Alligator mississippiensis: one gene and its partners. The protein of the gene in region 1 interacts with the protein of each later gene in a pairwise test. Links are inferred from orthologs where the notes say so. Each region holds a gene or a part of one and is shown in the gene's direction. Other genes may lie near its edges. The genes, in order: REL, HDAC7, NGB and EIF4EBP1.

Region 1 (7,236 bases):
TTTGTCTGTCCACACTATTAACTTTGGTGTTGAACTCAGAATTTCAAGCTAAGAGAAGCCCAGGTTCTAACCCACTGTTTTCTGGGTTTTTTGTAAATAAACAAACTAAAAAAATGTTGAATAAGAAAGCATTATAAACCACTTTTTTACTCTGAATAGCTCTTCTTTTAATGTGTTCTAATTCTGGAGCTTAATCCAATCGATTTACATTTAATAGCAAAGCCTACTTTGACACCAGGTCTAGCCTACCATCTCTGAGAGCAATGTACCATCTCAGTAGTGTGCTACATGTTTTTTCTGGGGCGTAAGGGGTTGTATATGCATGTAGGAGGTGGATAAAATATTGGAAACCAAATATTAAATAGGACTTGGATTAAAATTACAACCTCAAAAATGCAGTGATTCCATGACAAATTTACTTTTGTCCATCATTTCTATAATAGCAGTCATGTAAGAATCAAAGTGCTCCCTGAACACATTAGAAGCCAGTTCTAACTTTAATATTAGGGGAAAGTTTAATAAAAAGTGCTAGACAAACTTTGATGTATGATTTTATGGGAGGGAAAATGTAAAACATGCATTCCTGCTTCAGTTTAGCAAATCAACCTGTAGAACACATGGCATCAGGATAATGAATTCTACTACGCTTATAATGACAAAAATACAAAATATATGACATTCTTGGCCAGATTCTCCGCATTTGTAAACAGTAGGAGCTCTATAGAAGCAATGAAACTATATTCCAGTTTATACCATGAAATCCTTATGATAAAAATCCTTATGACAGATTAAAAAAACAGCCTTGAGACAGAAAACTATAAATTCTACTTTTAATTTTTAAACATGTATAATCATATTAAAAGGAAACATCTTATTTTACATACTTGTGACATTGGATATCTGTAAATTTGGATACTTGGGCAGAAAAATAGGGTTGTAATGTCTTACTCTATTGCAGTATGTTGGAGATACTGTCTATAGTAGACTAGGAGCCAGGAGACACTGTCTAGAGTAGAGTAGACAGTATCTAATGGTTCAATGTATTGCAATAAGAGTAAGACACTATAACCCTATTTTTCTGTCCAAATATCCTAACTTTAATCTGTTATCATCGGGAGAGGCATGGGACCAAATTCAGACCTTGTGTAAGCAAATTAATTCGTTTGATGTGACCTACAATGTAGCAAGAATAATAAATAAAGTGCTAAAATGTGAACAGTATCTCTCTCAGGAAATACTAGTTAAGAGTGTGCTAATCTTCTCAATAAAAAGATTTAAAAAATCAGAACAAAATCTTGCTGCCGGTCCAGTGCATTGTCTTATACCACAAGGATGCACCTGTCAGCTGGGTGTAAGCTCCTTCATGTTCATGCCTTCACAGTTATTTTACTGTTTGTCCAGACCCGCTCAGGATTTATGCCCACATCTGATTTCAAACTGGATTTTTACAAAGTTCAAGGGATGCTCATGTTCAGTGGTCCTTTTCAGCTTCTCATTGCAATAGGGTCAAGTGGTGAATTTCACACCCAGCTGGAGGTGTGGGCCCCAAATTCCCTGAGTTTTGCATAGGTTTAAATCAGTGACATAGCCTAGGAGCCACATGTGCAGACAGTGTTTAACCAAAGAGCCACAATAACATACACCCCAAAGTGAACTGTAGCAAACACTCCAGTTCAAAAGAAACTACGATGGGCAGTGCATGCGTCATGTTATTAATGACTGCAGGAAATGCATACCCCAGTCATACAGTAACTTAAAAAAATATAAAAAAGCAAAAGTAGAGACAAATTTGATTGCATTTTCTCTGAATAACTTGGTAAGTTGAATGGCTATTTGTAGCTCAGGCAAATTGATGAATTTGCCACTGCAATTTGCTCATCTTTGCTTTGACTGATTATATTTACCATTGACATAATTGTTTCCACAATATGTAGAGCTTACTTTTTTATTATCATTATTAATATATTCTGTGTTTCAGGTCAAATTAGCCAAATTATATTGATTAAGTATCCCTCAATTGTTCCAAAAACCATATCAACTGAGCAGGCAAAACTCAATCGTTTTATACATCATGTATGAGGCTACAACCAGTGAGCATCCTCCGTCGCAGGCTCTCACCCTGGGACTTCAGATACTCCCAAATCCATTGGCAGGTATCCTACGTGCAGGCCCAAAGCCAGAGGTCTTGGGATTCAGATGCCCCCAGTTGACCTTAGCCCACAAGAGGCCAAGAAGCCATGAACTACTCCCTTATATCTTTTTTGAGTCTGAGGACTCAGTCTTTGAGGAGGAACAGCTGACAGGCAGACCTGGGTCTTTGGAAGTCGTAGAGAGTTATAGGGAGCAAAGCAGATGCCTTGCTGTGGCACAGAAGGGAACTACCAACAGTTGAAGGAATCAAGCAGGGAAGGAAATGGTCAGGAACAGTTCAAAGTTGAAGAAGGGAAGGGGGTACAGAATACTTCCCTATCTTTTCTGCCAAATTAATCTCATGGGTTCATTATAGTTCAATTTGCCTGTCACAAATGAAGAAGAGAATATCAGGAGAGCCAAGAGAGGAGAAGAGTGAACACAATGTTTAGGTTCAGGAAAGAAATTGGGGTGTGGGAGGGCATTTCCCTTTCTGTGAGTCTCCAGAGGCCTTAGTAGACAGCATCCACTACATTCATGAGGATTAGGACATTTGTTGGGTATTCTACACATCCCCAAGTGCCTTAGGAGGGCCATTGGCTTCACTTATGAGTTTTAATGGGAATTTTTACATTGACAAGCACCCGAGGAAACAGGTTCCTCTGTAAACTCTAGTTGTTATAAGGGAAAAGGATGAAACAATGAAATATAGATGCCAGCAGTGCTGTATCCTGTACCACAGGCTGGGCCTGACATAAGCTAGCAATAGTTGATGTTCAGAAATGTGTAACTTTTGACATTAGACTTATGATAACTCATTTAAATTCTGGGCTGGTCACTAGGTCTTGGCTAGCAGGCCAATAGGTTTTGGCTAGTGACTAGTATAGTGTTTCCCAAGCTTGATACCTGGGACACACTTTTTTTCTGGATTAAAATTGGCAGCACACTTCACTCACCAGTCTGTGGGCCAGATCCAGTCTGTGGGTCCAATCCTGTATGTGGTGCTGATGAAGCCAGAGCCCCACCCAACCCATTTTTAGCACACACTTTTGCTGCTTCCACAGTACATCCTTTGAGTACCACTGGTCTAGGAAACGATGTGATATTTCCCCTCTTTTGAATGTTAAATTGGTACAAAGTGGAACGAAAAGTCAAATCTTTTTGAATCCTGCCTTTTGTTTCTAGGGTGTTGTAAGTCAGCTTTGTCCAACTGACCATGAATGTGCTGTTAGTCTTGCATTTAGCTAACTGGTGGAAAGGATGGACGGAGAACAAAACTGTGCAACTCCTCAGCCAATAACTCCCACAGCTGCATGTTAAACTGCAGTGTGTGTGCGTGTGTAATTCATCCTGTGGGTGTGAGATGAATGTGAAACTGCAGTTCACTGTATGTGCATGTGTAGTTCATCCTCTATGTGTGTGTGTGTGTGTGTGTGTGTGATGCATGTTAAACTGCAGCTTGTGTACGTGCAGTTCATCTGGCATGTGTGATGCATGTTAAACTGCAGTTCACTGTGTGTGCAATGCATGTTAAACTTCAGGCCGTGTGTGTGCATGTGTGCAGTTCATCCTGTGTGTGTACGATGCATGTTAAACTACAGTTGTGATCCATGTTAAACTGCAGTGTGTGTGTGTTCATCCTGTGTGTACGATGCATGTTAAACTGCAGTGTGTGTGTGTGCAGTTCATCCTGTGTGTATAATGCATATTAAACTGCAGTTCGGTGTGTGTGCATGTGTGTCAGGCAGAGACAGAGAAATTCTCCCTTCCCTTCAAATTCCGCGCTAGTCCCTGGCTTAGGTCCTTCAGGCGGGTGAAGACAGTGGCCTTCTCTGCCCTTGTGCAGGTTGGCAGGTAAGTGAAACCCTCCAGTCTCCACCTGTTCAGACGAGCCAGAGCCTCCCCCACAGAGCAGGAGGTGTCCCGGGCCGGGGGCGGCCGACTGGCCGCGCGTGTCTCGGGCGGAGAGACGCCGCCGCGCCTCGCCAGGGGCAGGGCGGGGGCGGGGACGAGCAGAGCGCGGCGGCCAGCCCTGGCGCGCGTCACTGGCGGGGAAATTCCCGCGCGGGGCGGGGCGGGGCCAAGCTGCGGGGGCGGGACGGCCGGGCTGGGCCGGACCGGGCCGGCAGCTGCACAGGGACCCGCGGCCGAGCCCGAGTCCCCGGGCAGCAGCAAGCAGCGGGCCGCGTGCGAGGGCTAGCGCCATGGCGGGTGAGTGCGGCCGGGCACCGCGGGGCAGTGGGCACGGGGGGGTAATGGAGGCGCGTGCGCGTAGAGTGGCCGTGTGTGTGTAGTAGACATGGGTGTGTGTAGCGGACATGGAAAGCTCTGTGTGTATGTATGTGCGTACCAAATGGAGCCCAGGTGAGCGGGTCCCTTCCTGTAACAGGGCAGGACGGATCTGTCCCTTAGAGATACCGACATTGTGTCGGTGGCTCTCTCATCTCTGGCTGTGTAACACAGGCTTTCCTGAGCTGATGCTCACTTCACTTGGAGCAGTGGTTCCCGATCGGGTTTTCATGCGCATCCCCCCCACGAGAATGTGGAGAAGGACTTCCTCCACCCTCACTTTGATGGTGCTTTTCAGCTCAAAGCTCCTGACTTAGCTCTGCAGGAAAAAGCATGAAATAAGTTCAAACAATCCATTTATAATCTGCATCTTCGTTAAAGGCAGTGTAATTTCCATTGCATACATGGTGGCTAAATATAGGCACTTGTTTTAGGCAACTTGGTTACCTGTTATGATGCCCAAATCCTTCTCTGCTGTTGTGGCATGGATTGGTATCTTTTCCTGCTGTGGTTGGTATATTTGCCTTCTAAGGCATGCTCCCATATATCAACCAAACCTTCACTTTTTAAATGAAAAATTGCTGTTCTGCTGGACAGCCCCTGGCATGTCTTGCCTATTTGTAGTCAGAGGCTCAGGACTATAACTGTGCATTTAAGCAGTGGTTCTCAACCTCTTTTGTATCAGGACCCATTTGTAAACACCAGTGGCCAGTCCTGACCCACTGCCCCTCACTCCTGACCCACTGTCCCCAGCCCCGCAGTGTGTGTGTAGGGTACACCTAGACTAGTAAATCTGCTAAGCTATGAGAAGCTGCCATTGTGCACGCATTTTATAAACTGACTTGTGGTTTGGATGCTTTAATATTTAGGTGTCCAAGCTGAGACACTTTTTTAAAGGGAACTGATTTTCAGGGGCTAGGTTCTAAGGCTTCCTATAAGTTACGTTAAATTGATAACTGATTGGTAGCCCCAAATCACTAGTCACTTCTGAAAATCTGTTGGCCTGCTTGTTTTTATTTTTCTGCTACTTAAAGTACTATTGTTAAAATCTACAATCATGATTTTAGGAACAGTAGTAAACACTTGTCCAAATATTTACTTTATTTGGTTTTAACAAAATAGATAGTGAACAAACATTAGAAAATGTGAATTTAGAGCTAAGACTGATCACTTTCAGAATGGCTCATTTAAACTTAAAAAACAAGCGGAAATTAAATTAAAAGAGCCAAATGTACATATAAGTTTCAGATCTGGGGTGATTACCAGTTGTCTAAGACCTGTCTGATGTTCAGCTGATGAATGCTGTTCACATTAGAAGAGGATATTGAGAAAGAAGTGAGAGAGGGAGAGCTGCCACAACAACAATGTAATAAACATAAATGGAGCAGGCAAACAGGAATCAGCAGACATAATGCAATTAATTTTTATCTAAGAAAAGCTTTTGATCTTGCATCTTTCATAGAAATTAAAAAAAAAAATCCATTTTAGAGGTGGTTGCATTAATTAAGAGTAGTTGCTGTCCTCAAGAAAAATGTTGTCTAACCTGTATCTGCTTTGTGATCTGCGTGTTAAGTCAGCCATTGCTAGTGCATGTGCTTGATCTGCTTTTCTAAATGTTGGCTTATAGTCAGATAAATAAAATTATTGAGCCTGTGCCCTTTCAAATTTGATATTGTATTTTAAAGCGGGTAAGCTGAAGCAGGAGATATCTATCTCTCTGTTATCAGTGCTGAATAGATTTTCAACATATTGGCAACTAACTGGCAAAGGAATTTTTCAGCAGAGGAAGCTCTTAACTTCCTAGTATTTACTGACTTTTTGTTACTATTCTGTAATGTCACATGATAACAAAGAGGAAGTGTGCAAAGCAGTTTTGCTTAGAGTGCTACGCAGGTCCTGAAGACTTAGGTAGGGGATTACTCTTTTCTAAATTAAGAGGATATTTGCACTTATTTCAGGTTGTAGGCAAATATTTTGTAATAGACATGTTACCTCTGAATTGTCTGCCTAGGCCCCTACCCTTCAGAGAGCTGCAAATACTTAGAATATAATATCTGACTTTTCTGAACGGCCTCTCATTTTTTTGGGGTGCTCAGCTTGGAAGAGTTGGCTCAGAGGCTCTGAACAGATCACTATCATGTGAGTTGGACAGCCAGAATTTTCTCAGCAGTGCCACCATAGTGTCTGCTGCATATACCTCACTTCATGGGCATTCTGGATAGTGATTCATGTTGTGGAGCCACTGTGGTCACGCTCCCATCACTCCCTGGCCCACCTCTACCTTTTTCTCATACTTCAGATTTTGGTGCAGAGCACATATCCAGACAACATCCCTAAGAGCCATGTAAGAATTACCAGTCTTGCTACATAACATCTTCATAGCCTGCCTCAAAAGGATCTCTGGCTTTGCTAGTTGGAAACAGCTGGAAATAGAAGCCAGTTGTTTTCCCTCCAGGTGTATTGAAACACATATAGTATGTCACAGCCACCTTCCTCTGGTTCTTCATTTCATCTTTCCCCATGCTTACCTCTGAAATCTGACTAGGCCTCTCCAGATACAATACAAATCATCAGTGTGAGATGAATGGCATGCACACACAATATTTCTCTTTCCCTCTCTGTACCATGTGCTTGTGAGCCACAAATATTGTAAAAGGCAGATCATCTAATTCCTGAAGGTTCTTTGCAGGCACAGCTGCATTTTTTGCATCAGCACTTTGCAGGGCATGGTAAAGAGCCTTCTTCCTTATGGTCAGCTGAGCAGTCAGCATTTGCTTCCATTATTTACTTTATATGGCTTATGACATATCAAACTTT
Region 2 (7,043 bases), on another chromosome or scaffold:
CTCGGGAGGTCACATCTAGTCCAACCCCCTGCTCCAAGCAGGACCAGCCCCAACTACATCATCCCAGCCAAGGCTTTGTCTAGCTGGGTCTTCAAAACCTCCAAGGATGGAGATGCCACCATCTCTCTGGGGAGCCTGTTCCAGTGCTTCACTACCCTCCTAATGAGACGGGTTTTTCTAATATCCAACCTCAGCTTCCCTTGCTGCAACGTGAGCCCATTGCTCCTTGTGCTGTCATCTGCCCCCACCGGGAACAGTCCAGCTTCATTCCTTTTGCACCCCCGCTGCAGGGAGTTGAAGCTACTGTTAAATCCCACCTTGGTCTTCTCTCCTGTGGATTCGGTACGCCCAGTTCCCTCGGCTTCTCCTCACAACTCATGTCCCCCAGCCCCTGAACGACTTCCTTTGCTGTCTGCTGGACTCTCTCCAAAGTGTCCACATCCTTTCTGTAGTGGGGGGCCCAAAACTGGACACAGGACTCCAGATGTGTCTTCTCCAGTGCTGAATAGAGAGGAAGAATCACTGCCCTCCATCTGCTGGCACCGCTCCTACCAATGCAGCCCAGGATGCCCCATCTCCTCCATCTGAGGTCTGCCCATCGCCATAGCTTCTGCGGTCTTCTCCATGCCCTTAGTGACCGTGGCATATCTGACCGCATCTGTTCCCATGTCCTTCAGGTTCTGGATGTGTTGCTTGCCGCACTGGTTGGGTCTGTATGTTCAGGCTATTTTGTTTCGGGGACAGCAGATTGTTCACGGTGACAGCCACGAGCCCTTAGCTCCGCTGACATAAGCTAGTCTTGTCTGTGCCAGGACTTCTTGGTGGATCCAGCCCTGCCCCGAGGAAGGGGGCTTTGCGCGGGACAGGCAGATGCTCGGAGCAGTCCCTTTTGGTCTCCCGGCTGCCTCTTTCAGGATGTTGCTGTGCTCTTTCCCACCCTTGGAGGTCGGGGCGTAGGAGCTGCGAGACCTCGGGTGCACCGGTTGGAGCAACTGAGTTTGCAAGGCCAGCGGAGGAGGGTGGGGAGCTGGGCGTGGGGCGGGTGCGGGCGCACCTGGGGACAGGGTGGAGGTGGGGAGTGACGGCACTGACGGAAGGCTTCCCAGGCTGCCTTCGACTTGGTGCTGGCCTAGCTCCATCTCTGCAGGATTTTATCCTGCCCCACCCTGGGGGAGGCAGAGGCAGGGCGGGTCCTCCGAGGCCTTGCAGACCTACACAGCGGCTCACCCCGCAGCTCTCCCCTGCCATCACCAGTGGGTGCCCGGATGGTGCTGGCCATGGGGGGAGACTTGCCATTTGGATTCTCCCCAGCCAAGGATGCCCGGTGCATGGCTCCTAGAGCAGCTCTGGGCTGCATGCACGTCCCGTGGCCGTCTCCAGGTAGCCTTGGGAGATTGAGCAGACGGGGCCATGCCGCCGCTGCTCTTCCAGAGCCAGGGTGAATGCCAGGGGGTTGGAGGAGCGTGGATGTGCCTGGCCTTGCCCAGAACTGAGCAGGCTCTTTCCAGAGACCCAAAGCAGGACTCTGGGGGTGCCACCACTCACAAAGCAAATGCAAAACCTTGTGGCTGATCTCTGGGCAGAGATCCCGGCGAGCTAAGCCAAGCACCCCTGGCTCAGTGAAGGGCAGAGGGCCAGGCGTGTTCAGCTCCAAGTGGCGTGGACGGCTTTCCTGACACCCTGCCAGTTCGTTCAGCGTCAGCACAACAGCTCTCACAGCCAGCGAGCGGGAGATCCCAGCTCAGCCACCCCAATCTCCCTTCAGGCCTCAGTGCAAGCCACGCAATTACCGTCTCCTTACACAATCAGCTTGCGTGATTTTTTTTTTTTTGTCGGGAGGACAGAATGGGTGGTTGAATGAGACTGTAGCAAAGCTGGGGCTGGAGAGGAGGTAGCTGGGCTGCTTTCCTCCAGGACGTCTGGGATTTTAGGATAGCATTTGACTCGGACCTTCTAGGATTCATGATGGAAAATGTCGTTACCTTGGCCAGGAGCTCTGGCACATCAATTCGGAGGCTTTCGTGGGTAATGTAGCTCATCTCCAGAGCACGTCGCCAGGTGTCTGAGCCACCGCCAGCTACTTGGAGTGTGGTCCAGCACTGATATTCGTCTGTAGGGAGGTAAAAGGATGCTAAAGGCCGGGGAGGTGCAAGGACCGGAGCAGGCAAGGTGCATTGTGTGGAGTGGATGGGCAGGGATTAGGAGCAGGTCTGGCTTGAAAGGATGGAGCTTGTGCATCCAGGAACAAGCCTGGGAGGGCAGGGAGGTCTGCCTAGCTCCATGTCTGCACCTCGTGCTGGGTCCTTGTTGGAAATGAGCAGTGCCTGGAGGTGTCTCCTTGCAGGACGTGAGGCAGGAAGGCCTCCAGAGGCTGCCGAAAGCTCTCGGCTTGCCATCTTCCTGCAGCTGCGTGGACCCTCCATTGGCCTCGGGAGCTTGGTTCCTTGCTGGGTCCGAAGACAGTAGAGACTCCCTAGCTGCCCAGGGCTCTGCATGGAGTAGACCCCCACCTCCACCAGTATCTGCATTGGTTTCTGTAGGGAGGGGAGAAAGAAGGGGCTCATAAGGCAGAAAGCATCCTGGAGCCCCGCGGTGCCTTTATCTCCCACAAGCTCACAAAAGAGGCAGAAGAACTGGAAACGGCGCTGAAAAGGGCATGGGTGGGCTTCCAGACCAGGTGAGACTCAATTAGGCTCAGAAAAAAAAAATAGACTTCTGGGGGAACATGATAGAGGATGATTCACCCACATCCAAAGGGGATTGGACCCATTTCCAGAGGAAAGGCCCGGGAGCAGGTATCCAACATGGTAGCGAAGGGCTGGCCCAGGAAATGACAGGTCTCCTGTTCTTACAGCTGGCCTGGCTCCGTGGGGAGAGGAGCGGTGCTCACGTGGAAGGAGGCGGGGATGCAACTCTGGAGTGGACCCTCGGGGAAGTGGAGGGAGCCCCCAGGGCTGAAATGGGGCTGGGGGGAGAAGCCGTGTTGCTCTTCTCCAGGTAGATGCAGGAGAAGATGGGGCGGGGGGGGGTGATCTCATGGGGATTTCCTGCTTCAGCGCTGGGACTTCAGATCAAAGCCTTCACGTAGGAAACTAATTCTTCCTTCCCCAAGCTCCTGGGATGGTCTAGTGGAGCGTGGCTGCCTGTATCCATTATGGAGCATCAAAGCTGCACCGTGGCCTGGGGAGTGGGAAGAGCATTCAGTGATGCATGCACGGGACAGGGGAGAGCCTGTATGGATTCCCCTAAATCTCGCCCCGCCAAAACGGGGGTGCTGGTGTGGGGAGGGGGGTGCTGGGTGTCTCCAGGCGCTGGGATCCACTGTGTGCCCTCTGGATTGGCTGTGTCTAGCTCTGCTAGATTTGGAGATGCCATCAGTGGCTGCGGTAGGAGTGGAAATGGTGCCCCCTCGTTACCCCATCCCTGGCACTGGCTCTTTGTCACCGCTCTATTCGCATAAGGAGGATGTGGGCTGGCTCGTGGACACGGGCCCCAGGCCTCACCCATGAGGCTGCAGCAGGGCAAGGATCCAGCTGGGGGATTTCGGAGCTGGAGATGGAGCTCGAATCTCCCAGAGCAAAGCGCCTCGTGGCAGGGGTGGGGGAGCTGCGCTCCCTCCCTGCCACCTCCAGCCAGCCTGGCTGCGTGCCCCAAACACAGGGAAGGCTTGATTGTAGCACAGTGTCCTGCCTCCTTGCTGCCCGCAGTTGTCTGCATCCGCCATGGGCCACGGAGTGAACCCTGCCTGGCGGAGCTGCAGCTCCCCTCCTACCCCCACCCGCCGGGAAGGGCTGAGCTAGAGCCGCAAGAATGTGCCCTGCCATATGGGTAACTTCTCCCAGCTGGAGACACAAACATTTGTTGCTGCAGCTGGAGTTGTGCGTCCCCGTCCCCCCCCCCCCCCCCCCCCAATCCTCCCGATTGCAACACCCAGGCTGTGTTCTCAATTGCTCTGCTGAAGTCGTCATGCCTTTCTCAACGCCCTGGAGAGGCCTGGAGAGAGTTGAAATGCCAGCCGAGAGAGGCACTGCGACTAGGGCGGTGTAGGGGAAGGGGATGTGCTATGGGGCAGGACGATGCAGGAAGCTCGGGGGTGTCTGGAAGAGCAGCTGTCGCATCCGCCTGGGCTGTGTTTGCAAGACCTCTGGGCTCTGGAGGGCGCATTGGCACGCTCTGCTCACTGGATTCCCCTCCTTCCATGGTGAGAGTCGTGCATGGGTCTGTGCATGCCAACTGTTCCCACGCTTATGTATGCTCACACGGGGTGGGCACGTGCCCACTGGTGACCCATGGGGTGGTGTGTGCTGTGGGGCAGAGGACTAGCTCTAGCATCCCACCTGGCTCGCAATGGGGCTTCTCTGTCTGCACCTGATGGTGCTTCCTAGTGTAAAGGCCTGCTCAGCCCCAGCTGATCTGGTAAAATCAGGGTGGAGGGCATGCATCTGTAAGGGGAGGTGGAGTTGTATCCATGCAGCCTGGTGTGAGTTGGGGGCAGGGGGGTGACTGTCCCCAGCTCCCGGTCCCTCTGTCCCAGGTAGAAGGTGGCACAGCGACCTCTCCGCTGTAACCGCCGGGGTAGCGGCAGAGCCGAGGCACAAGTGCAGGTCCCCTGATGCCAGATCCTCCTGTGCATACAAAGAGCAGCCAGGACCTCGGGCATCTGCAAGGGGAGCCGTGGTGGGGGTCAAGATACGTGGACCGTCCCAGTTGGAGCTGCCTCTTACCCTGCTTATGGGGTGCTGCCATCCAAGCATGGCCTGGGCAGCACCCCATAAGCCTTCTAGCTTGGGCCTGGAGCACAGAGGTGGAAGTGCGAGTGAGCACACAGAGGGAGGCCCGTGTCCGGTCCCCGCTGGTGTGCAGCCCCCTTCTGCTCTGGCCGGTATAGCCAAGCCAGGCCCCGCAGAGCTGAAGCCCTGGTGCCTTCCCTTGCTCCAGGGCTCTTTGTGCTGAGCAAACGGAGCGCCGCTGGATCCTGGCTCTCACTGCAAACCTCCCAGCTGGGCGGGGAGCCGGGCCAGCGCTTCGGTGAGCTCAGAGGCTCTCACGGAAAGACCAAGCTTGCGTCAAGCACCTCCGCTTCCAAGAAGGAGAGCTGGTGGGAGCCGCACCCTCCCTCCTGAGTCAGCAGGGTGACGGGCGGCCCCGGGGAAGGGGGCCCTGGATGCTTAGCTCGGCTTGGCCGTTCGGGGCCTGTTTGGAGGAGGCTGATTCGTTTGCTTTCACCGGTTGGAAACTTTCAGTGCAGGTTTCTGGGAGGCTGGGGATGCTAGGGTCTTGTTGTGAGCTCTGTCCCAGCTTGGTGACTGCTCCTGCCCCTGTCTCCTGCTGCTTGTAGCTTTGGGATGGCAGAGGGCAAGGGCAAGATCAGAGGCACTGGGGTTGGTGACTGGGCTCCTGTTAGGACTAAATCCTAGAGGGTCCTGGCGAGAGGGTCATGTGTCTCCACTTGGGCTCAGACCGATGCTTCATTGAGGATCAGGAAGGCGTTTGGCCCCTATGGTCAGATTGGTATGGACTGGGGTGGGGGCAGGGGTTTGTCTTTATAGCTGGGGCTTGGCCCTTTTCCCTGGATCGCACCGGTGCATTTTTAACACCCCTTGAAGCAGCAGGGCACGGCGAGTTCTCGTCCCCCTGCTTCACCTGCAGCGGTTTGGGGTGCTTTTGGTGTCTTTGGGCAACTGGCCTGGTAGGTATGTGATTTGTGCAGCTTTAGGATTAGACAGGGACTTGGTTTGGATGGGGATGTTTCTGCCTGGAGCAGAGTTGGCCCTGCTCTTCTACGATGCTGTGAAACCAGTCGCTGGGCAGGGGCTGTACCGATCCCTGCACAGGCGCTTGCCCTGGGTGCTGAGCTGTGGAAAGGCCAGTCCCCAGTGACTCGCGGCCTCTCCGCTCCGGCAGCCACCGGCCGCTGCCTGCATCGGGCTGAACCCGAGGCTAAGAGACCTTTCTGGGTGCCAGGACAGCCTGGCTGGGTTGGCGGCGGATGCTAGGCCAGGAAAGCCTGCAGGGCCCTGGCAGAAGCTGGCTGGCCCAGGGGAGCCCTCGTGGCTTGTGAGGCTGGGTTTCAGAGTCCCCAGCTCCTGGAGTCCTGGGATTGTGTGGGAATTGCGACTCATGGGCGAGCTGGCTTCCCGGGATAGCTCATTTATGCAAGCGTGGAGCCTTTCCAGCAGTGTTCCCCTCCTCCTGGTGCCCCTTTTGCTCCCTGCCACCCCAGCTGTGGGCCAGCTGTGCCCATGCTCGGCAAGGAAGGGCTCTGGGTCCATGGAGACAGCTCCCCATTCACCGTTTCCAGGAGAGGAAGGACAGCTCCAGCTTTCCCCTCTGGCTCCAGCAGGCGTGGGGGGGAAAGGAGAGTGTTGCAGCTGGACCTTTGCCATTGCACAAATATTTCTCTCCCAAGTGCTGACCAGCCCCACCCAGGTCACTGAGCCCATCCATCCGGGCCTGGATGTCCCCCACCCCCTCCAGCAGAAGAGCTGTTGAGGCTTGGCGGGGATAGCACGGCTTGGGGGAGCCTGTGGTCACGGGTGTGCAGGATGGGTTGAAGTCAGCCTCAGCCTGGAGCTGCTGGGAGCCCCTGGGCCGGGGCAGCAGGGCTCTGCAAGCTGGAGGAGGGCACAGGTTTGCACCCCTGCTATACATCTCCTGCTGTCCAGCAGTCGGAGGCCAGGCCCGCAGCCCACTGACTCGGAGAGCCCTTCCTAGAAAGCAGCATGGGAGAAACATCCCCTCTCCATGCTCTTGGAGTCTGCAGGCGACTCTCGGGGGTGCTATTAGAGTTGACCCCCTTGATCTAGGCTTGCCCTGCTTCTGTGGGATGGAGAAACGAGGCTTGGGGGCATTAGCTAAGTTGGTCTCCTCTCTCTGGGATGTCCTGCGTCCCGGCCGGGACATGCTGAATGCTCCAAACCCATGGGGTCAGGGTTATACCCCTGCGACCGCCCCAGCAGGTGGCCCGAGGCAGGCATGACCAGTGTCTGGTTTGCCTGGCGCGTGCACGGAGCAACCGCCTGATACAGAAGCAAGACTTGAGT
Region 3 (7,697 bases), on another chromosome or scaffold:
TTGTTTATACAAGCCTCTCATCTCGTCAGGGCCCCGTGAGCTACAGGAAGAACCCTTGGATATTGAGCAGCTAAAGACAACACATTTTCTTCTTTGCTCTGCTTTTAATCCCCATGCTGTGGCTTAAATCTTCAAGGTTGGCAGCACTGCCATCCTGCTCCCCAAGGGCACAGTGGCAGGCAGAAAAGTCTGAAGCTATTGCCCTTACCATTTGTGTGTGCAATTATTCACGTCTACATCTCTTTCACTTGTTATGCAACTGCATTTGCAATTTGCTTTGCTACTGAGCTGTGGCACATTATGGCCTGGGGGGGGGAGCAGAGATGAGAAGCCGAAACATTTCATAAGCTGTGTTTCTACCTGAGGATGGAGGGAAGCAGTCATGGTGTTTAGTTTATAACACAGACAGACTGGAGAGAAAGAACGAGTCTAGCCCAGGAAGCAGACTCTGAGGTGAACTGAGAGCCTGGAGGAGTTTGGTTATTCATGAGGACCTGCAGAAGATGAATTTGAAATTAAAAAAGAGTCTGAAGGGGGATTTGTTTTCATTACTTGGAAAGTGCAGCAACAAAGATGAGAACTCAAGCTGTTACAGCATATCAAGAAAACAGAATTGGCCCCAAGGCCAGGAAAATTCAGTGCCTGAATGAGGAAGGAGGTGATCTGAGCACAGGACCAAACGTCAACATTTATGGCTTTAGTCCTAGTTCTGATGCAAACCTCACTCTGTGACTGTGGGCAAGTCACTATCCCAACTCTCTGCTTGTTTCTCTGTCAGGCAAGTAGAGGTGGTATTCACAAGGGAGAGTAATGTTTGCAAGGCAATCTATGGGGCTGTTGACATGCAACATATTTCTATCGTTTTGAAGGTGTTTGGCTACTTTGTCTGAAAAATTAGATGATTTTGCTGTCCATCATACTGCTCTATGCAGACCACAGGGATTCACTGGAAATTCCCTTTCCTCCCTCTGTGCACTGCTGAAATGTGGTAGGAGCTGGTCTCAGCTGGACATCTTTGTCCCCAAACAGGCCCATCTGATGTACTGCAGCACCCAAGCAGATAATACAGCCAGGCTGAGCTCTGAGAAAATGGAGCTATGGGGGCTGGGTGAGATGAGATCACAGGGGCAGGAAGGCTGTACCTACATAGTGTTGTTGGTCAGCATGATGGCTCCTTTGGTGTTTTCATAGAAAATGTGGGTTGGAAGGGACCTTAGGAGGTCGTCTAGTTCAAGCAGAACCATTCTCAACTATATCATCCCAACCAAAGCTTTGTCTAGCCAGGTCTTAAAAACCTCCAACGATGGAGATTTCACAACCTCTCCAAATAACCTGTTCCAGTGCTTTACTACTCTCCTAGGGAGAAAGTTTTTCCCAATATCTAACCTAGGTTCATGGTTCTCCATGCTGGAAGGCTCACTGAGCATCTGAATGAAAAGCACAATATAGTTTTTTTTATTAAAACCCTCCTCAGCCCCTTAGCATGCTGTCAGCACCTCCAGCACCGTGGCAGCAGAAGGAGCTCCTCTGACAATGGAATAGCTGTGCAGGAGAGGCTGCTTTATATGCAGGTGAGAGCCCTGCCATTTCAAACTCCTCTTGAGCCCTCACTCCCAGCAGCTGGAGGAATACACATCACTTCCAGGTTTCAAATGTTTCTCCTTGAGCTCCCTCCAACTTCAGCCTTTTTGCAGGTTCATTTTTTAGGCTGGGGTTTGGTTTCTCTTGTGGAGAGATAATTTGCTTTTTAATTAAAACAGGAAGTAAATGTAGTGCTGGAAGATGCCAATGTGGCAGTGCTAGAGACTGGCATTCTCTGTTACTCCTATAGCACTGTTGTGGAAACACACGCAGCATACTTTTGGGTCAGGTCAGCAGAAGCTTTTATTCAAAAGAAACTACAGCTGTAGGGGGAGTTCCAAAGTGACATGGATTTCCCAAGCACTTGGAAGGGGTCCCCCCCCAAGAGCAAAATCAGGAGGCTTATATACTTTTTAACAGTCGCTTACAACTCACGTGATCATATAGTGAAATTAGCTAGAAAAGCAGCTATAAACATGACTTCGTTACTTTTTTGCTGTTATCAGGATGAGAATTATGGAGGAGACAAGGGAGAAATATCACTCCCTGCTTGCACCTGGAAATCAGAGTTGGACATACTTTTTGCTATCTTCAAGGCCGCAGTGAGCGAAGCAGTTGCAGAGGAGTTACAAAGAACAAACACTTGCCCTTGTCTGTTCTACTGTACCGAGCCAGCAATTCTCCACAAAGCGGTTATGTCATCTTATAACTCAAATGATCAAAGTTTAAGGCATTTATTTTTTTCTGATTCCACAGCACAGATATAGCTTGGGTAGTGGCAGGGACATGGCCTTGGAGGGGCCATCACTAAGGGGAAGGTTAAATTATGCTAAGCCTTGGCCTCTCTCCTGAGCCTGCCACCAGGTAAGTAGGGGGCAGCTAGTCCCAGCTGGTCTGGTGGATCTCCCACTAGAATGTGTCCTGAGCACTGCCCTTCATCTCAGATGAGCAGTCCAATGTAGGCATGTGAGAGAAGAGGCTGAATATTCTCAGTGGTTTATATGTAGCCATTAGTTGTTTATTTTGGCTTTTGTCTGCATAGAGAAAATGCTCTAAGTGCTCTGTGTGACTCCAGGGCGCTATCCTTTTATGCTGCATTGGGCAGTCGCATGGGGAGTCTATGGCAAGTTGCATTGCTTCTCATTTCATGACCTTTGCATCATTGCTTAATTTGCAGCTGATGAATCTGCATATGATCATCTATCTGGGAAGAAATTGGCCAGATTGTTAGTAAGGAGCCTCCCTGACGTGGTGCGTGCTCATGTCCCAATGGCGATGTCCCTGATACTAACAAACTCTAGCAAAAACTATCAAATCTCCCCACATTTCACCTATCTTTCCCTTGCAGCATTCCAGCTTCCTTCTTCCCTGTCTATTCAAAAAGGTACTGATTGTCTCTCACCTTGGCTATTACAAACTCTTTTTTTCTGCTTTCTCTTAACACCCAGCTTTCAGTCCACCCGAAATGTGGCTAGGAAAATATCTAGTCTGGTGCGTTATCTGTCTCCTGTTCAAATCCTATAAATTTCCTTCCTCCCTCTGTACCACTGAAGTGCCTTACTCTCCTCTAGTAGGTTCTGCCAAAGTGCCTCTAGTTTACAACCAGGTTCTCCTTTCTCATTACAGCAGAGGCAAATTGGGGTAGAAGAAGATTGGCAATATTTCCCCAAGTTCTGCTAACAATACAGTCTCCACACGCTCATAGCATCAAAGTAAATGCTATGCGGAATACTTCATGTAGATTCTCATACAATGTTCTTGCTGCTTTCTAGTGTATTTTGGTGAGACTCAGAAGAGTTAAATGTTAACCTTTATGTTGTCAACACTAGGCAGCATCCTGTGTTTCTTGTCTTGGTGATTCCAGAAAGAATATGACCCTTAGCTGCTAAAAAGAGATTAATAGGGACTGAAGGAGCCTGGAGTGCAGCTGATTTTTGGAATATCCTATTCTTTCAACCTGAGCTGCTTCACTTCCCTTTATAATTCCCAGTGGTCAGTAAGACCAGATTTCATGAATACTGAGCTGAGTTAGTGTGTGAGCTCAGTCTCTCCAATTGGACAGGACTGAAACCGCTCAACTGAGTGACCCAGATCCTTCCTGGCTAACACCAAAGGAGCATTCTCTTCAGGCTGAGATTGTAGGGGCCTGTGCATCTGGAACAGCAGTTGCTGAGCTCTGTCCCTAATAGTGCTGTGGGTTTTAATGCAGCGACGATGTACAGCAAACCATAAAGGTAATGCTGGCTCCAAGAGCCTTTAAAGGCCAAGTTCCAACTCCACTGAAGCCAATGTTAGGCTAGGAGAGGACAAGAACTGACTTTCCTCTTAAAATGATGCACCAACATTGACTATGACCACATATATCCTATGATAAATGTATTGTACAGGCGTTGTAGCCTCAGAATACCTTCTTATCTAACAGGAACAGCTGAACCTCATATAGCTGATATTATAGGCTTAAACGGACCATATGCCTATTATCTTAAAGAAGATTGCAATGATGTCAATAGGACTTGTTCTCAGAAGTCACTTAGGTTGCTTTTGAAAATCCTTCCTTAAATGATTATTCTGTTACCTGTCCATATTTTTCCATTCTTCTTCCTTCTGAGCTCTTAACACAGAACACGCTCTGTCTCTCTCTGTCCTCCCCTCCCCCAGCTTGTCTTGATGCTGTCTGAATCATTGAGCCATTTGAAAAGGAGAGTTTTCACTTCATCTGAGTAGCAGAAAGAACCTGAGCGCTTTGAATTTGTTTGATGTAGTCCAAAAGCCTTGTGATCCATTATTAAATGCTTTGCCTTGTACAATTGGCTATGCTTCTATTAAATTAAACATGTGATGATGTTCCCTTTGTACACACTAAACCCTAGATTGCACCTGCACCCAGAGATGTAAAGGTTTGGGAGTGTCAGTGCGGGTGACTGGGACCAAGAGGACACTGTTGAAAATATTGTATGAGGGCAAGCTGCACTCTAACAAGTAGAAATCAGGACTGAAAGCTGAAAGAGTGAGGTTTCTAGCTTGGTCCTGCCACTAATTTATTGCCCGATGTTAGGCAAGTTGTTTTTCTTCTGTGTCTGTTCCTTCATCTGTAAAATTGAACTGACTGGAAAATTTCAGCCAAAATTGGGTTAAGCCATTTGACACTGAAGGTGTGTGGTGGCTCCTTACTTATGGGAGAATGTAGCAAAGTGCAAAAGTATTGTTTGTTACCCAGCTTTAAAAAGCTCACTGGAAGAAACGGGGAGAAAGGGGACACTGTCGCTTTAAGAGCATCCGTGAAAGTGTTGCTACTGGAAGCTGCTCTGCGAGACGGCCAGCTGGGAAAGTGCTGCTAATAAGGGGAAAGGAGCTTCAGCTCCAGATCTTTGAGCCTGTGTGTGACAGGGAGTGAGACAGGGAACAAATCAGGAGCACAGTTAGTGCCCAGTGGGAAGAGGGCACAGAGACACTGATAAACTTGCTGTAGCCATACAGCAAGGGGGATTAGAAAGCAACAGTGACCAGCCCATCATTCCTGTAGACACCAAGAAGCAAGATGGATCTCCCCCAAGGCACTCAGGTTTCATCTGATTGCTCAGACAGGGGCTCTTTGTAAGTCCACCTGCACTGCTCCCAGGCAGGAGGTGGGAGGATCAAGGGGAAAAAAAATGGCTCTTGCACTGTCTGGGGATCCCAGAGATGTGATCACAAAGTCTTGAGTACTGTGCAAGGAAGAGCATCCTTGGCACTTAGAGGAGCGAGTGGGGGGGGGGGGGGTGTGGATCCCAGGTCCAGAGGCACTGGTGGCCTTCCATGCTTGGATTAATTCAGGACCTGTGACACCTGTAACTCAGAGTGAGCAAATGCAACTACTTTCAGAGGAAGCAGAAGCTTCCCCTGTCTCTGCTTTTTTCCCCCTCCTGTTCTTCAAGTAAGATGGAGAGTGAAAAATTATCCAGCACTGAACAGGCACTGATACGAGAAAGCTGGCAGAAAGTGAGTGGCAACCCCCTGCAGCATGGCATCATCTTGTTTACCAGGTAAGTGATGGGTTATTATAGCAACAGGCAGTTTCTGTAGCAGGGCAACTTGGACAGAGGGAGGAAAAACCTGGTGCCAATGCTTGCTGTGGTATTTATCAGGTCTTCTTCCCCCCCCCCCCCCATCCCTGGGTAAGGCAAAGGAAGGTTTGCATTCTCTGAAAAGAAACACTTCCCCTCCCTTCTGAAATGATTTCTTTTTTCATGGCTCCATCACTTATCTCCTGCTGCCTGCTCCTTCTGTCCATTTGCTGTGATTTGCAGAGCAGAGAGAACAGATTTCCAAAGAAGCTCCTTAGCATTTAAATCTAGAACTTTGTTAAAAGGGAGGGGAGGGGAAGGTATGTGGAGTGTGTGCTTTTGTGCATTTCTTTGCAGTGATTTCCCTTGTTCTTAGGAGAGGAAATTCTGTTGTTTAAAACCTACTTTGATCCTTGTGCATCCACTCAACTCTGTGGAGTGTATCTAAGTAGCTTCCTAATTGTCACATTGCTGAGGCAGAGAGCTGGCCACTTGAGAAAGGAACAGTTAATTTCCAGGATCAATCTCAAAGAGGGGGAAATAGTGCATGGGGGAGTGCAACTGAAAATTTGCTGCCTCTTCCACTGAATTAACCCTTCAATTAAGTGGCAGAAAAGTGGAGGGACGGAGGGAAGTGCTTGAAAAGTCCTTGAAAAGCAATGGCTCTAAAAGTTTGTGAGAAGCTCTTGGCTTTTCCACAGCCAAATCTGAAAGGCAGATTGCAAATGCAAATATCTGGAAAACAAGCCGTGCTTGATAGAGCCGAAGGAAAGGAACTATTTAAGGAGACATTTAAAAGTTTTGGTGAAGGGGTGAGGGATGTTGCAATCTCATGTTAAGTCTCTCTGATGATGTTGATACCTAGGAGACTAGAACCATTGCAAACTGATCACTCTAGGTGCATCTACAAGTGCAATTAATGCAACTAAAAATACTTCAGCTCAATTTGAGCTGGAGTAAACTAATCCTGATGTCAGCATCTACACATGCATTTAAGTGCAGTAATTTATTGCACTGCCAGATACCACTTGTAGCTGATGGGACTATCCAGCAGCACAGTAAATTAGTCTATTGTGCCCTAATTTCTGTGCATATGTAGATGGTGATGCTTTATTGCACAGAAAATTAGCCTGTTGTGCTGTAAAGCATCTCGTGTAGATGTGCCCTCTGTGTGGTTTTATGAATTGCCATAGACTGCCATGGATGGCATCAGTCTATCAGATCCTCTTGATTTTTTGCTTGCTGGACCAGTGTGCGAGTTAAACAGGTGAGATGCCATGTTCTAAAGAACCCCAAACTGATCCATAGATCACTGGTTGTTTATAAGGCATGGACAGTGGTCTGTGGATCACCCCCTTTCCATTATAATTAAAAGTTTGGTAAGGGCACATTATGGTCAATAAGAACCATCGGGGATCAGTGGTCTGTTGGTCCCAAACTTTGGGAAGCAATGTCCTATGGTGAAAAAGTTGGCAGAAGGGGTTTGGATTGGGAGCCAACAAACATGTGAGGGATTCCAGTTTTATGACCCTGCTTGTGAAAGTAGGAATCTCATCTGGCTGCAATATTCTGGCCTCCTCTGAATTTGAGAAAATTGAGATTAGGGAGTATCATAAAAAACAGGGAACAGCAAGAGTTGAGATGGAAGTGTTAGGACAGGGACTAGGATTTCATGGAAGATGGAGTCAAGCAAAGGATTTCAACAGTGCCCTGGAGTTAACACTGGGCTGACCTGTCTCCTGGAATAGTGTTGTAGCAGTGAGGACTGGGGACTTGGGCTAAAGTAACAGAAACAGTTTTAGGCAGATGACCCCCAGACCATGGCAAATCTCCCTCTCAGAACTCCATGTTTGTAACATCACGGCTGGATGGAATGAGGGGTGGGGAATGATAGATGGGGGCAATGTTAAGGAATGGTTGTCATTTGAGAAGTGTGAAATATTTGAAGTTTTCTCCTTTCTCTTGAAGGTTGTTTGATCTGGATCCTGACCTCCTGTCCCTCTTCCAGTACAACTGTAGACAGTTTTCCAGCCCACAAGAATGCCTCTCTTCCCCTGAGTTCCTGGATCATAT
Region 4 (7,102 bases), on another chromosome or scaffold:
AGAGCTCATTGAGGAATTCAGCCTTGTCCCCCCTGTCCGTCACCAATTGCTTATGCCCATCTAGTAGAGGTCCTATTCCACCCTGGGCCTTCCTTCTACTCCCTATATATCTAAAAAACAATTTTTTATTATCCTTTACTTGGGATGCTATCCTCAGCTCCATGGTAGCTTTGGCCTTTCTAACTGCCTCCCTACAAGCGCGAGCAGAGGAGGTATACTCCTCTTTAGTAATCTCTCCCCGTTTCTACTTTTTATATGCCCCGCTTTTTGCCCGTAGGCTGCTCTGGATATCTCTGGTTAGCCAAGGAAGCCTCTTGGCCCCTTTCCCCCTTTTCCTCCACATCAGGATCATCTCCCTCTGTGCCCGAAGGATCATTTCCTTAAGGCACAGCCACCCTTCCTGGGCTCCCATCTCTTCAAAACTCTTACTCTGCAGTGCGTCCTTGACTAATCGCCTGAGTTCGTTGAAATCAGCTTTCCTAAAGTCTAGCACTTTCACCCTACTAGTTACCTTACCCACTCGATGTCTTATGGTGAATTCTATTATTTGGTGGTCACTGTCCCCCAGGTGACCACTGATCTGTAGGTCTCCTACCATGTCATCCCCCGTTGCCAATACCAGGTCCAGTAAGGCATTCCCCCTAGTGGGACCATATACCTCCTGCGTCAGATGGAGGTCCTGTACACAGGATAGGAACCTGCGTGAATGGTCGGACTTTGCTGTCTGCATCTCCCAGCAGATGTCTGGGTAGTTTAAGTCCCCCATGACTACCGCCTCCCTAGTTTTTATGGTCTCTGAGAGCTGCCTCAGGAGCCCTGAATCTAGTTCTTCACCTTGGTGTGGGGGTCTGTAGCAGACCCCTACCACCAAGTCCCTTTCTCCTTGACCTCCATGTAACCTAACCAACAATTCTTCTACTTTCTCCTCCTCTGATTCAGTTTTGATAAGGGTCGATGTATATCGGTCATTGACATAGAGCACCACCCCTCCCCCTCCCTTCCCCACTCTATCCTTTCTGTACAGCTTATATCCCTCAATGTGTACCGCCCAGTAGTGGGACGAATCCCACCAGGTTTCTGTTAGCCCTACTAAGTCATAGGTGTTTTCTGCAAGCAGGAGTGCTAGTTCATCCTGCTTGCTCCCCATGCTCCTAGCATTAGTGTATAGGCACTTGAGCCCTGTGACTGGTGCCTTTATTGCCCCCCGGCTCTGATACCCAAAGGGCCCCTTATTGCTTACCTGTGCTGTATTGCTGGCCGCCCCATGGATTGCAGGTTCCTGATGTTCTCCTTCTTCAGGCTGGACTGTTCTTGTGGGTGCCACATGGTTTGGTGGTCCACGGCTTCCCCCGCACTCATCTTCCCCTCCCCCCGACGAGCCTAGTTTAAAGCCCACCGGAGGAGATCCGCCAACCTAGAAGAGAACACATGCTTACCTTTGGGGGACAGGTGAAGCCCATCTCAACTGAGCATGTCTCTCATCATGATGTGCGGAGCAAGCCCCAAGCACTCAGCAGAGACCGGCTCTTGTATCGGCTCCTAGAGTTAGGCTCAGGAAGCAAATCTAGGAAAGCAAAATCTAGGAAAGCACATTTCCAAACTGAGGAGTAAGGAGCCAAGTACGGAGCCACAGACCCTGTCTTGCTTTCCCCCCCTCAGTGCCCTAGACCAGACTTCTGCCATCCCCCTAGCCCACCAGATCTGACTCCGTGGGTCTGTGAGAGCACGTGTGGCTGCTCTGGGGTTTGTATGAAAAGAAAGGGCTTGCTGGCAATTGCCACCTGCCTGTTTGCTTAGCAGTCTCCTCAGGCTGAGGAGGCACAGCCTGAGTGCAAGGAGAGAAGATAAACAGAGTTTGCCCTAGGTCCATGTGAGCAGGAGAGAGTGAGAGCAAACAGGCTGAAGGGCCATTTAAGGCAAAACTGCTTGTCCAAGGCTCAGGAACAGCACAGAGCAAACTGTTGATTAATGCTGGTGACAGAGCCAGCGCCTGGCTCCAATGTCAGCCTTATTTCTACCTCCTCATCCTGGCTGGCTAGCTCACCGGGCCTGCTGGTGAAACCCCTCAGGAGCCAGCTCAGCACCCCACAGGGGTACAGGAGGGACGGTCCAGCGGGGAGGGTGTGAGATGGGGCTCATCTCCTTGCCACCAACTTCCCATCTGTCTTTTCCACATTCTCCAAAGCACCCCAAAAAGTGCTGAGCCCCAACCCCTCTATTCTCAATGGGGCCAAGCCCCTTCCAAAGGGGAGGGGGCTTCTTTTTATCATATACATATATCTCTATATGTACATGTACGTATATAGCTATATACAGAGAGAGAGAAAGGGATGTATAGGTGTATAAAGATAGATATATATGTGCATAGCGATATCTCTATAGATAGACATATATCTCTATACACATATATATCTATAAATCTATACACATATGCATCTCTATATATCTATATACGTATAGATATATCTCTAGATGTAGCTGTATCTATACTGAGAATATATCTATATAGAGATATTAGATATATAGATCTATACATATATATATATATAGAGAGAGAGAGAGAGAGAGAGAGAGATTTGGTCCCTCAAGGCTCTGTCCTTGGACCTATATTATTCAACATCTTCATTAACAATGTGGACACTGGAGTCAGAAGCGGACTGGCCAAGTTTGCCGATGAGTCCAAACTCTGGGGTAAAGCATCCACACCTGAGGACAGGAGGGGGATCCAGGCTGACCTTGACAGGCTCAGTAAATGGGCAGATGAGAACCTGATGGTGTTTAACACCGAAAATGCAAGGTTCTCCACCTTGGGAGGAAAAACCCGCAGCATCCCTATATGCTCAGCAGTGCTACGCTGACTAGCACTACAGATGAAAGGGACTTGGGTGTCACGATTGACCACAAGATGAACATGAGCCTGCAATGCAATGCTGCGGCTAGTAAAGCGAGCAAAATGCTGGCTTGCATCCATAGATGCTTCTTGAGCAAATCCCGGGACGTCGTTCTCCTGTTGTACTCAGCCTTGGTGAGGCCGCAGCTGGAGTACTGCGTCCAGTTTTGGGCTCCACAATTCAAAAAGGATGTGGAGAAGCTTGAGAGAGTCCAGAGGACAGCCACGCGCATGATCAGACCTTGTGACAACAGGCTTGAGAACCTGGAAAAGCGCAGGCTCAGGGGTGATCTGGTGGCCACCTATAAGTTTATCAGGGGTGACCACCAGTATCTGGGGGAAGGTTTGTTCATCAGAGTGCTCCAAGTGATGACAAGGTCAAATGGTTATAAACTCCTGCAAGACTGTTTCAGGCTGGACATAAGGAAGAACTTCTTTACTGTCCGAGCCCCCAAGGTCTGGAACAGCCTGCCGCCGGAGGTGATTCAGCCACCTACATTGAACGCCTTCAAGAGACATTTGGATGTTTATCTTGCTGGGATCCTGTGACCCCAGCTGACTTCCTGCCCTTCGGGCGGGGGGCTGGACTCGATGATCTTCCAAGGTTCCTTCCAGCCCGAATGTCTATGAAATCTATGAAATCTCTGTATCTGTATAGATACATATAGATCTATACATGTAGATCTATATAGAGATTTATATCTATGTAGAGAGATACATGGATATATAGATCTATACATATAGATCTATATAGAGAGATTTATATCTGTGTAGATACATGGATATATAGATCTATGCATATAGATATATATAGAGAGATTTATATCTGTGTAGATACATGGATATATAGATCTATGCATATAGATATATATAGAGAGATTTATATCTGTGTAGAGAGATACATGGATATATAGATCTATATATATAGACATACATAAAGAGAGATATATATCTATATGTAGAGAGATATATAGATATCTCTCTATATCGATATTTCTCTATACATATAGATATACAAATACAGATCTATCTACATCCATATATTTATCTCTCTCTCTAGATATACACACATCTACACAGATCTATAGATCTATATCCAGCCACACACACGCAGTGGGCGGGGCCTCAGGAAGGGGGCGTGCCTTCCCCTGCCGCGCTCCCGTGGTGCCCCGCGCTCAGGGCGGGCCGGAAGTGCGTGTGGTTCCGGGTCGGAGGGCGCGGGCGGGCGGACGGACGGTCGGGTGCTGTAGCCGCCGCCGCCATGGCCGTGCCGGGGAGCTGCCTCCCGGGGCAGACGCCGAGCCGGGACATCCCCGCGCCCTCCGGCGCCCCGCGGCTCCCTCCCGGCAACTACAGCAGCACGCCCGGCGGCACCGTGTTCGGCACCACGCCCGGCGGTGAGCGCCGCGCCGCGCCGCCCTCCGCCCCACACGTGTCCCCCCCGGGCGGGCGGGCGGGCGGGCCAGCTCGGGCCTGGGCAGGGCAGCCGTGAGCACGGCTGGCGGAGTGTTTCTCAGTCCCCGTCCCGTGGGCTTGGCAGAGCGGGGGGACGGGGGCGGCGCATCCAAATGGCTGTAACAATAAGTCGGTGCCCGCGCCGCAACGCTCTGCGCTGTGCTGCGGCGACACGGCACGCGTGACTGGTGCCTCCCGTGGGGCACCCCCGGGCGGAGGGGCCCAAGTGTAGCGGGGGCACAAGCACTCTCCATGCCCCCCCCCCCCCGACTAGCCGGAGCGCTCGCTGTCAGAGGGGCCATGTGTCCCCTTCCCCCCCCACCCCGACGTGACACGGGCTCCGGTTGCTCTAAGTAGAGTTGGTCCCGGGGCTGCTGTGAGCATTGGGGCACCTTATGCTGTAATAACTGGGTTGGAGTCGTAGACAGCGAGGGCGGAAGGGACCTCAAGGGGTCACCTCTAGGCCACCCCCCTGCTCCAAGCAGGACCAGCCCCAGCTACATCATCCCAGCCAGGGCTAAAAAAACTTGCACAGATGGTGACTCCGCCACCTCTCTGGGTAACGTGGTCCAGGGCTTCGCCACCCTCTTAGTGAGATTTTTTCCCCCCTAATATCCAACTTCGGCGTCCCTTGCTGCAACTCGAGCCCGCTGCTCCTTGTTCTGTCATCCGCCCCCACTGAAAGCAGCCCGGCTCCAAGGCTAGTTGAGCTGCTTTGGTGATTCTTTGGGCAGAGCGACCTGCTGGCACCCGTCTCTTTTGCAGGTACGGGTGGCTGTCGGCTCACAGGGGGCTCATCCACCCTTTTTAACAGCTCTTGTTTCAAGTCCTGCTGGGTGTCCGTACATCTTCCTCACCTGGGCCGGTCACCAGTGGCCCCACCATGGAACAGGCTGTGCTGGTTTACATGGTACCAGACAGCAGAGGAAGAGAGGCCTGGCCTGATGGGAATTTCACATTATTACAGCTGTTTGGACACATTGTCCCTTTCCCTCTGCTTTGCCACGCTGTTGAGAGAGCGTAAATGCTGTGCAGCGTAGCTACCGATGGAACACGCTGTAAGTGAGAATGCTGGCTGATGGGAAGTTGCTAATTCAGCAAGGGATCAAAGACAATCAGGGAATTAAACTGCTGAAAGGAGTAGTGATTCAAAAACACTGAAGTAGCGGGGCAGTGGGGCACTGACTTCCCTTTTTTAAGCGATGGTCTGGGAAGGTGAGCATATGAAAATACACCTGCAGTTCTTTTTTTATGAGAAAGTATATAGAGAATTAAAACACTTTGTCACGTATTAATGTGCTTGGCTGCTTGTTGCCCTCCCTTTTATTGTGGCCGGTGGCTGCCACGTGTATTTTCTCATGCCTGCTACTCTGGCATTAGAAATGCTTGGGATTTTGGCATTTCTCTGCTTAGTTCATTGGCAGCTGAGTCTAAAATATACGTTTTCAAAGTATCACCAGAAATGAACCAGGCTGCAGGCTGGGCTGAATGGAATGAATGCTATTAGAGCCCTTGATGCAGTGGAGTCTCGCTGACCTTCCTTGTGCTAATCCGGAAACCTGCTGGTTCTTGCTAAATGCTGCCTTGCCACGCTGTGTCATGAGCTTTCTGTGATGGCGAGTGTGCTAGTTCACTATCTGGTTTTCAGCATCGCTTGTTTGTTTGGCTTGATAAACCCTTGTTCTTTTGAAAGCATGTAACACACTGTTCCAGTCCCCTGGCCAAGGCGCTGAAGTACTGTGAGCAGTAAATTATGTTGCTCTTGTCAAAATAAAGGGCCCACTGAAATTTGCCATGCAAAACCCTTGAATAATGTGCATAGGCAGCTCTTGTGCACCTCAGCTTCCCTGGTAGCTCCACTGATTTCAGTGGCACTGGGTACTGAAATGTGACATTTTGGGTTTATTGCTAGATGCTGAAATATACTGAAGCCCTCCTTGGACAGTGAGCACATTTAGTCTGGGGCAGAGGGAGCTTGGAATGTTTTCTGGTGCTTTGGGAGTTTCTTTTCCCTGGATTTACAACAGTTTTACCTGCTTCTGTTCTGCGTGGTTCTGATAAGTTAGGCAGTTCAGCGTGCTTTGTTCCCCTGCTGTTTCACTTGCAGGGGAACAAATAATAGTAGAATGCAGGCAAAGGCCAAGGGCATGCCTGTGAATCATCTCAGGATGGTAGTGGAACGGAGTTGCTCAGGCAGTCATATGACAGTTAGATGCGTTTTGTTTTCTTGGAAAAAATCTGTCACCCTCATTCTGTAGCAGTGTCGACATGAGGAGTGGGGGTGTTGGTTGGTTGTGATTGAAGCAGTTCTTTAAAGCCGTAGGCTAGGGAAGGCTTGTGGGTGTCAGCACCTGCAGGCTCTGGGGAGGAAGCCTGAAATGAAGGCTGAAGATGGGAATGGTGAAGTATGCTTGTTCAGGTGCTGGATATTGCAGGGTTGTTTTTTACTGCCCTCCTTCCCCAACTCCAGTTTTAGGGAGACTCACCTGCATTCGACTTAAAAGATGAGCGTTTTATTGATGAACTAGCCCCAAGGTGACTCCCAAAGAGCTGTATCCCAGAGCTGCACTGCTTGTGCCCCTTGCACATGATATTGGCTGTAGCTTGCTGCCCTGGGTGAGGTCTGGGGAGCCCTTTCCTGCCCTGCAGCATTCAGGCACAGGCTGGGGGCCGCTAGACATGCCGAAGGATTCAAAGGCATCTTCTCAGCACTGTTAGCTTATCCTCCTGGCTCTGTGAGCCCCTTGGAGCTAGGTA

What was found.
Region 2: the proteins of REL (region 1) and HDAC7 interact in binary tests that used the Homo sapiens proteins (3 or more experiments, as listed by UniProt). The two-hybrid records come from large-scale screens. The link is inferred for Alligator mississippiensis from reciprocal best matches to the Homo sapiens genes REL and HDAC7.
Region 3: the proteins of REL (region 1) and NGB interact in binary tests that used the Homo sapiens proteins (3 or more experiments, as listed by UniProt). The two-hybrid records come from large-scale screens. The link is inferred for Alligator mississippiensis from reciprocal best matches to the Homo sapiens genes REL and NGB.
Region 4: the proteins of REL (region 1) and EIF4EBP1 interact in binary tests that used the Homo sapiens proteins (3 or more experiments, as listed by UniProt). The two-hybrid records come from large-scale screens. The link is inferred for Alligator mississippiensis from reciprocal best matches to the Homo sapiens genes REL and EIF4EBP1.

Annotation. Positions count from the first base shown.
Region 1 is NC_081824.1:211,732,071-211,739,306, forward strand, and holds the start of REL (proto-oncogene c-Rel), read left to right. Parts: upstream 1-4,214; 5' UTR 4,215-4,334; coding exon 4,335-4,341; intron 4,342-7,236. UniProt on the Homo sapiens protein: Proto-oncogene that may play a role in differentiation and lymphopoiesis.
Region 2 is NC_081838.1:7,634,914-7,641,956, forward strand, and holds the start of HDAC7 (histone deacetylase 7), read left to right. Parts: upstream 1-4,041; 5' UTR 4,042-4,056; coding exon 4,057-4,201; intron 4,202-7,043. UniProt on the Homo sapiens protein: Responsible for the deacetylation of lysine residues on the N-terminal part of the core histones (H2A, H2B, H3 and H4).
Region 3 is NC_081825.1:262,953,019-262,960,715, reverse strand, and holds the start of NGB (neuroglobin), read left to right. Parts: upstream 1-4,689; 5' UTR 4,690-5,119; coding exon 5,120-5,175; intron 5,176-5,495; coding exon 5,496-5,603; intron 5,604-7,592; coding exon 7,593-7,697. UniProt on the Homo sapiens protein: Monomeric globin with a bis-histidyl six-coordinate heme-iron atom through which it can bind dioxygen, carbon monoxide and nitric oxide.
Region 4 is NC_081830.1:18,438,427-18,445,528, forward strand, and holds the start of EIF4EBP1 (eukaryotic translation initiation factor 4E-binding protein 1), read left to right. Parts: upstream 1-4,095; 5' UTR 4,096-4,151; coding exon 4,152-4,287; intron 4,288-7,102. UniProt on the Homo sapiens protein: Repressor of translation initiation that regulates EIF4E activity by preventing its assembly into the eIF4F complex: hypophosphorylated form competes with EIF4G1/EIF4G3 and strongly binds to EIF4E, leading to repress translation.